Linked DNA regions of Nothobranchius furzeri. The protein of the gene in region 1 interacts with the protein of each later gene in a pairwise test. Links are inferred from orthologs where the notes say so. Each region holds a gene or a part of one and is shown in the gene's direction. Other genes may lie near its edges.

What was found.
Region 2: the proteins of mcm10 (region 1) and mcm6 interact in binary tests that used the Homo sapiens proteins (3 or more experiments, as listed by UniProt). The two-hybrid records come from large-scale screens. The link is inferred for Nothobranchius furzeri from reciprocal best matches to the Homo sapiens genes MCM10 and MCM6.

What each region holds. Positions count from the first base shown.
Region 1 is NC_091741.1:61,269,347-61,273,939, forward strand, and holds the start of mcm10 (protein MCM10 homolog), read left to right. Parts: upstream 1-1,534; 5' UTR 1,535-1,674; intron 1,675-2,490; 5' UTR 2,491-2,526; coding exon 2,527-2,533; intron 2,534-2,607; coding exon 2,608-2,892; intron 2,893-2,997; coding exon 2,998-3,186; intron 3,187-3,313; coding exon 3,314-3,454; intron 3,455-3,573; coding exon 3,574-3,781; intron 3,782-3,860; coding exon 3,861-4,026; intron 4,027-4,593. UniProt on the Homo sapiens protein: Acts as a replication initiation factor that brings together the MCM2-7 helicase and the DNA polymerase alpha/primase complex in order to initiate DNA replication. Additionally, plays a role in preventing DNA damage during replication.
Region 2 is NC_091751.1:64,049,327-64,053,141, forward strand, and holds the end of mcm6 (DNA replication licensing factor MCM6), read left to right. Parts: coding exon 1-12; intron 13-81; coding exon 82-189; intron 190-270; coding exon 271-426; intron 427-537; coding exon 538-666; intron 667-1,935; coding exon 1,936-2,100; intron 2,101-2,273; coding exon 2,274-2,397; intron 2,398-2,473; coding exon 2,474-2,650; intron 2,651-2,718; coding exon 2,719-2,858; intron 2,859-2,939; coding exon 2,940-3,050; 3' UTR 3,051-3,344; downstream 3,345-3,815. Other genes in the region: uncharacterized protein si:ch73-71c20.5, read left to right, coding at 3,420-3,507, 3,706-3,815. UniProt on the Homo sapiens protein: Acts as a component of the MCM2-7 complex (MCM complex) which is the replicative helicase essential for 'once per cell cycle' DNA replication initiation and elongation in eukaryotic cells.

The sequences.
Region 1 (4,593 bases):
TTTTGACCACTGAGTTGAAACTTCAGCTCTTTGATGACTTTTTGTGATCCACGTAATGCTGACCGAGAACAAACCACGACTAAAGGAGCCTTGAAACCTAAGCCATTCTTGCATACATGTATTTTCTAGTAAAAATACTAAAATGCACTCCACTGTGATATGGCTGATGACCCAGATGACACCAAAGGACCTGGACTAATGCTTGTTTCATAGGTCTACATGTGTAGAAGTTCTAACCTGCATTTGGGGCGGGCCAATAGCAGTCTCTTGACTACTTTTGCAATGTGATGCAAAGGACAAGTAAGGTGGTTGTCATCCACATCATTTCTCCTAGGTCAGGCTAAGGCTGAAGAGAGGCTGCAGAATTCCACATAGCTGCTCTGCACAGGCCTGAAGGACTCTGGGGATGACATCTGGACCTGGAGCTAGGTTTTATCTCTCCTGTGGCATCTTCATATGACTACTGGAGCCAGACAGGTGGGAGGGGCGAGGTTAGGGGAGCAACAGCATCTACTGATGTAATTTATGACAAGGATGAATTTGCAGCTGCAGGATCCATGATTCAGACAAGGAATACATGAATGAGGTGTGAGAGAGAAGCTGTGGGTCAGCAGAAGGTGGGCTGGGGACAGGTTGGGCGGATGCTGAACTGAATTGTTTGAACAACATGTTCATTGACTTTGTCTAGACCTCCAGCTGTCTCCCGTTCTCTGCTTAAAGCCAGTGATGTTCTTCATCCCCAACTACATAATTTATTTTTCTTGCTGGAGCTTGATCTCCAGTGTTTTTCTGTAGGTCCCCTTGTTTCATATTTTGGTATCAGCTAGTACTCTCATTCAGACAAACCCAACAACACGGTTTATAACTTTTCTTTACTGTTTATATTCTGGTGCTAAATTATCAAGGAGATCTTCGTGTGAAGATTAGAAGCCATCACTGAGCTAAAGACCACCTTCTCTTCGGCTTAGTGTTGACAGAAATTTATGCCGAGACTTCCAAACACAACTCTTGACAAATAATGAGCTACTTGGGAATAAAAGTAAGTTCTTCATTTAAAAAATATTGAAGACAAGCTGTTATAAATATGATATATTTCTTTGATATGGTACTCTGACGAGATATGCCGTTCATCATTCTTTTATTTATTCAATTTAAAGCTTCGCTCAACAGTTGTCTGTTGCCCACAATGTCTGTTTTACATCTATTGTCCACTTGATGGTGCAGCTGCGCAGTAAAACAAATGAAGCACCTAACGACGTGAAAAAACCTGATCAGTCCTTACGTTTTCTTATCCCAGTAAAAGTAATTTATCGATTTTTTACTATATTAAATGAAACAAACGTTAAGTTTACGAACGGGTAAAAACAAATTTCTGAAGGTTTTCCAAATCTTCAATGATTTATTGCGTTTGACTTAAGTTTTTTTAACCAGGCAAATATTTGGGCACCTATGACCACTTAGACACAACATGGTCCTTCGTTTAGCGCCACTTTGGATTAGTCTTTTAGTGTAAAAGGACACTTTACAGCATAACTAGTTGTCGTATTAAATAAAACTCGGTGGTTTGAATAAAATGTTCATTAGCAAAATATAAGACTTATATAGAAAGTTACGCAAGCCCTTTAATATTAGCTGCGGACTAGCTAGAAGGCAGAAAGCTGAGCTTCTGTAGGGGTAAGTCGTCATTTTATCTGTCTGTAAGGCGAGTTACTTTGGTTATGTTTATCGGTTTTATTTCTCGCATAAGAAATTGACATTTTAAACACAATGACAGCACGTCATATTTAACTAGTAGCATCCAGTCTTTCTCTGTTCAGCCCTTCACCGGGTTAAGAATGCACTCAAATAAAGACCTCGAGGAAGTGAGTAAAAACAAACACCACAAATAAAGTTTTTCAAACCAGTTTAATGACTGACGTGAATCTTCATTTCTCAGTTTCATCCCATCTAGTCTGCCTAAAACCACAGACCGGCATAAGTTCTGATTTTACGGTGGTTTAGGGAGTTAATAATAAGATAATAATAATGACAGCACACAAAACGAAAATTTATGAGTTAAATCAAATTACGTTCTCAAATGAAAGCGACAGAATAGTTGAGTGAATATTACAATAACCCCTGTAAAAGTGGGTTATTAATTGTGCCAGTGGTGCTGCAGACCAATGAAGTCTCTGAAGTCCAGCTAACAGCAGAAGGTGTAAAAACAATGACACATTTTGTCTTCTAAATATTAGTTTAGAACAGGAGAAGAGCTCAAACTGCAATTTGTGGTGTTTGTTTGTATCAGACAGAAGAAAGCTTTAGAGATATCTGTCATCATTTCTCTGCTCTCACCTTTGCAAAGATTTTGTAATAAATTCTTGTTAAATCTTTTAAACACACTTTTGGTAAAAATATCTTTTTTTTTGTTCAAAATACTGAGAATGATTAGTTGTGTTGTTTATATTCGTCCCTTCATTTCATTAAAATACAGTAAAAATTATCTTTCAGGGTTATTTGCTTGGCTCGTCTTAAATCAGCACTGAAATGGACTGTAAGTAGTGAATTTAAAGCACAGGACTGTTGGGTTTCAGAGCAAATGGTCACTTTATAAGTTTTCCTACTCAGGTGAGGATGATCTTGACATTCTGACGGCCCTATTGGATGAGGGCGATGATGTTGGTGAAGCTCAACATGGCCAGGAACAGGTGGACGACTGGGATTGCCTGTTTGGTGCGGACGGTGATGAGGAGGAAGAATACAAGGAGGGTAGTGAAGAAGAAGCGGTGGCCAAAGAGGATGTAGTGTTGGAGCTGTTTGGAGATGTTGAAGACATTGAAAAGGAGGAGAAAAACATAAAAGGAAAAGGAGGTGCCAATGAGAACCCGAACCAGTCCAAAGAGGATTTACAAGGTTTGATCTGAAGTTGCTACTACTTAAATCTGCATTTGGTTCATCCACAGTGGAATTTTTCTAAGTTTTTGTGGTTTTGTTTCTGTATCGTTTCATCTCGTTCAGAGGAGTTGAGGAAAATGCAGAAGCAGATGCAGAAACTTCAGCAGCAACTGGAGGCAAGCCACAAAGTTCCAGCCGCTAAAACCACTACAGCAGCAAGTCCTAAATCAGAGGTCCTAAAGCCATCCCTGACCCAGCAACCAGAACCCAGACGGGTCAGAGCCAAAGCAATTCCAACACTGATGCAGTCAGGTAAACATTTTGCTGCTCAACAATCATGCATATTTTTCAAGTTAAGCTTTTTTTTTTAATCATAAATTCCTAAATTCACCAAAATCCTTATTTTTCTGGTTCTGTTTCACCATATTTTTTTTACCAGCATCAACATCTTCATCCACTCCAGTCAGAGCAGGAAGCTCAAATCTCCAAGAATCCACAGATTTTTTATCTCAGCTCAACAACGGAGATTTGTTTAAACGAAAACCTCGAGTGGCTCACAAACTCAAAGCATCCTCACCTGGTACTTCTACCCTTCCATCGTTTAGCCATTCACCTTCAGATTATTCAGGTCTCACCAGCTGATCTGTCAGTCAATGCTGCAGGTTTCATCTACAAAAGCTTTTTCTTCAATGTTTTTAGAGGACAGAAAACCACTGGTGGAGGTAAAGCTTGGCAGCTCCTTCCAGGCATTAGAAAGCAGCAGCCAGGCCCTGGAGCGTCTCCTCTCTCCTCCTTCTTCCCACAGCACACATGCACCAACTGCATCAGCAGGACCTTCTAAACCTGCTGCTCCTCTTCCTCTACCCAAAGATTTAAATATTGAGAAGTACTCAGGCCTACGGATCAGGTCAGAGCACTAACGTAAGAGGAACCTTTGTTCTGTTAGTGATTCATACAACATCTGTGGGTTTCTTGTTGGTTTTCAGAAGGCCACGTGTTTCCTCGAGTGAGATGGACCGCAAGATGGCTGACCGCCGCCTGATTCGCCTTTCGCAGGTGCCAGAGTGCTTAAAAAGGGAGAAGCTGGAGGATAGCGACTGGGTGACGTTTGCAGTTCTGGTCAACAAAGCCACGCCTCAGAGCAACAGCAGTGTAAGTGGGTGATCAGATGTCTGGCAAAGTTCTGTTTTACAGAGCGGGCTGTACAGATGACCCTGAATTAGGGTCGCTCCATAGAAAAGACCACAGTGTGATAAATATAGACCATCAGGAAAATGCATGGGCTTTTTTAATGGAGAGAAAAATCTTAAAGAAATGTTTTTGTCAGTGAAAAACTGGTGGAGGAGATTTTGTTTATGTTTATTCATTTAGCAGACGCTTTTATCCAAAGCGACTTACAATTTATAACCTATAGGGCATGTTGTGATCTGTGGGGGAAACCGGAGTACCCGGAGGAAACCCATGCATGCATGGGGAGAACACGCAACTCCACGCAGAAAGGCCACAGCCGAGTTTCGAACCTGCAACCTTTGTGCTGCGAGGCAACAGAGCTAACAACTGCGCCACCATGCAGCCCCATGCAGGATTAATCTATAGTAGAGTCAGCCAATGGACTGGATGAGCTGCCGATTTTCATAACTGATATCTAGAGTTTTCCACATTATTTAAATGCTAATCTGGATCATTAATACCAAACATTTCGAAACCTGATCAGTTATT
Region 2 (3,815 bases), on another chromosome or scaffold:
CTCGCGGACAACGTGAGTAAAAAAATAAAGAAATAAATCTGTCTCTGCTCTTAATGTGTCTAAAATGTTGTTTGCGTTCAGGGAGTTTGTTGCATTGATGAGTTTGATAAGATGGACATAAAGGACCAGGTGGCCATCCATGAAGCCATGGAGCAGCAGACCATCAGCATCACCAAGGCTGGAGTCAAGGTAGCACCGTCCAGCTGAGCCCGGAACACCTCACCTGTTCAAGTTTTTACCTCTGGAAAATAATCTCCTCTGTTTGTTCAGGCTACTCTGAACGCACGCACGTCCATCCTGGCTGCTGCCAACCCCGTCAACGGGCGCTACGACCGCAGCAAGAGCCTGAAGCAGAACGTCAACCTGACCGCCCCCATCATGAGCCGCTTCGACCTCTTCTTCATCCTGGTGGATGAGTGTAATGAGGTACGGAAACACACAACACGGAGGGAAAATGTGTGTGTGTGTGATTTTTCCATGCTGTAGTAACCAAGGATCTGATGGAGGTGATCATTTATCTACCCGTGTGTATCTCAGGTCACAGATTACGCCATCGCCAGGAGAATCGTGGACCTGCACTCCCGGGTGGAGGAGTCCGTGGACAGACTGTACTCCTTAGATGAAATCCGCAGATACCTGCTTTTTGCTCGGCAGTTTAAACCCAAGGTGTGTGTTTTAAATAAAAACAGGAAGTACTCCAGAATAAAGCTGCTACAATAAAAGTATCTAGGTTTCAAGCAGCACCCTCCTAAACCCCACTGCAGCTAACGCAAGCCGATACTACGCGAGTCACGGGGGAAAAAGTCCACACATATGGTCAAAAAATATATTCCTTTCAAGTCCACCATCAGTCTGTGATGTCATGTAGGCCACACCCATTTTCACTCTGGTTTTAGCGCTTTGCTCCGCCTCTAAAAACAATCCTCTCACTTTTATTTCCAGGCTACGCCATGATGCCAACAAAAAAAAAACAACTAACTGCTAGCTTTTATATTGGCTACCAGTACAGTAAACCGCTTTTGCCATAAACCAGGTAGAAACCTCCCTCTAGTGTTCCTACCTGAACCACAAAACGGTTTAGTAGAGTTCAGGGGCGGATTAAGGACCGAAGAAGATCCGGGGCTTAACACGCACACACACACACACGCGCACACACACACATGACACGCATTAGTCAACATCATATATGTCTTGTACCACATAATTTTTAATCTGAAGCTACATATTAAGCATTTTCAGGGCAGAGTATTGTTCCTGTTAGTGTTTAGTGTGAGATGATAGTAAATATTCCCGTTCTTTCTCCAACAACTTTACCTGATAAGCTAACTTTAGGCAAACCAGCAGCACAACAAGTACTTTCTAATAAGACTCACAAACCTGAGTCAACACCAGTCTCATCAAAGCTGGGGTTCTGTCGCCGTACTTTTGGTCTAAAAAACGTCCTTATGTCCATCTTCACTCATGCGTTTCAGGCAGAGAGTGTAGAAGAAGCCGGTTGCTGAAGGGCTTCTTCTTCAGTGGTGGAGGCTCAGGCAGGCTGTATACAAACTACTGCCAGCTGCTCCCTCTCTGTTGGACTTTGGTACTGCATGTTACTTCTGCAATTTAGATCCGGGGCTTTTCATGAAACATCCGGGGCTTCAGCCCAAGTAGCCGGGCCTAACGCTGCCCCTGGTAGAGTTTCTGGTCAGCAGAGGGCTACTGGGTGCTGTCCAATATGAAGATGCTTAAGAACCACTAAAACCAGTTTAAAAGCAATAGCTTAAAATGTTAAAAACCACTTGGTGTTGATTTTAAATGGCCTTACATTTATCAGGTGACTGTTTTGGACTGACTGAGTGTAAAAGCTGCAGTGTGTGTGTGTGTGTGTGTGTGTGTGTGTGTGTGTGTGTGTGTCTGTGTGTGTGTGTGTGTCTGTGTATGATGCCATGGCAGATCTCCGGTGAGTCTGAGGAGTTCATTGTCGAGCAGTACAAGCGTCTGCGTCAGCGCGACGGCTCTGGGAGCGTGTCCAAATCCGCCTGGAGGATTACGGTGCGGCAGCTGGAGAGCATGATCCGCCTGTCTGAGGCCATGGCACGCATGCACTGCTGTGATGAGGTACGACGTAGACGGAGGAGCTGACTGGACCAGGACAGAGCAGTTTGGCTCATGTTTACAGAAAGTGTCAAATGACAGGAAGCGGCGTCAAGACACAGCAGATGACTGGTGTGGACATGATCTGGAAAAAAGATGAATATGAAAAGCACCAATGATGGTTTCCTCGTCTCCAGGTGCAGCCCAAACACGTGAAGGAAGCTTTCCGTCTCCTAAACAAGTCCATCATCCGAGTGGAGACGCCCGACATCAACCTGGATCAGGAGGATGAATTTGAGGACGAGGAGCAGCAGGAGGAAGGTATGAGGAGTTATCTGTATGCACACCCTGCTGCTGATGATCTGTAGATCTTCACTGAACAGTTTTCCATCTGCAGTCAACAATGTACCAAATGGTGTCGACGATCATGTTAATGGGATTAATGGTCATGCCAGTGGCGTGAATGGTCACGCGGAGCATGACAGCCAACCCAAACCTTCTCTGCGTTTGTCTTTTGCCGAGTACAAACGCATCTCCAACCTGTTGGTGCTGCATCTGCGCAGAACAGAGGACGGTAAGAGGCGGTCCTCCTACTCCCTTTTGTCTAAAGCTGCAGCTAAACTGGACTTTTCTCCTTTTCAGCCGATCAAGAGGAGGAGCTGAGGAAAAATGCAGTGATAAACTGGTATCTGAAGGAGATCGAGTCAGATATCGACTCTGAGGAAGAGCTGATCAATAAGAAGGCTCTGATAGAGAAGGTCATCCAGAGGCTGGTCCACTACGTGAGTCTGCGCTCGGTGGATATTTCTATCAATGTTCGATTAAAGTTTAATCCGCTCACACCAACGTTTGTGTCTTTGTAGGATCACATCCTCATTGAGCTGTCTCAGGCTGGACTAAAGGGCTCTGAGGCTGAGAGCACAGAGGAAGACGTTGTTCTGGTCGTTAATCCCAACTACATCCTGGAGGATTAAACCATCTGCTCTGGATGTTCATGGTGTTCTGCTGAAGATCGCATGACTTTGGAGATGCTGTTAGACCATCTTTTGGAGGTGGCCCCTGCTGTACAAAGATGAACTATGGAGGCTCCTAAAAGATGAGATGTAAATACGCTGCTTTGTGTAGTTTGCTCCACTGACTGTTATGAGTCAGTAGAACCTCTGGACTGTGTGATGACTTTCTAATAAGATGGTTTCCACTTGTTGCTGGTTTTGTAATATGGTGACAGGAAGTGTACGCTTGTTTACTCAATAAAATGTTAATGTAAACACGTGGTTTTGATCCTGTTTTTGGGTAAATAACGTAATACCAGCACTGTCCACCGGGGGCAGCAGGCTGACTGGATGAAGAGGTATTGCGCATGTCTGTTTTTGTGTTATTCGACAAACATGGCGGCGCCCCGCTTGACAGCAGTCCGAGCAACCCTAACAGGTAAAAAACACGATAAACGTGAACTCACGTGATGAAGCCACCAAGTTAGCTTTTAATTCCACGTGTCGAACGCTAAATTAACCTATAAATATTTAGGGTTTCGTTGTTGGACGTTTACTCAAACACGTTTCCGGTAAACTAACCGGCGGGGAAGCGATGGAAGAAAAAGGTGATTTAAGGCTTAAATTCGTCCCTCAGGTTTCTCCACCTGTCGGTTTCTCTTCACGCATCGCTTTCAGACCCCAACAGTGTGCCGTCATTCCCGGCTACATGTTCAGTCCTCCGCCGGGCTGTGGAGCTCCAGGACC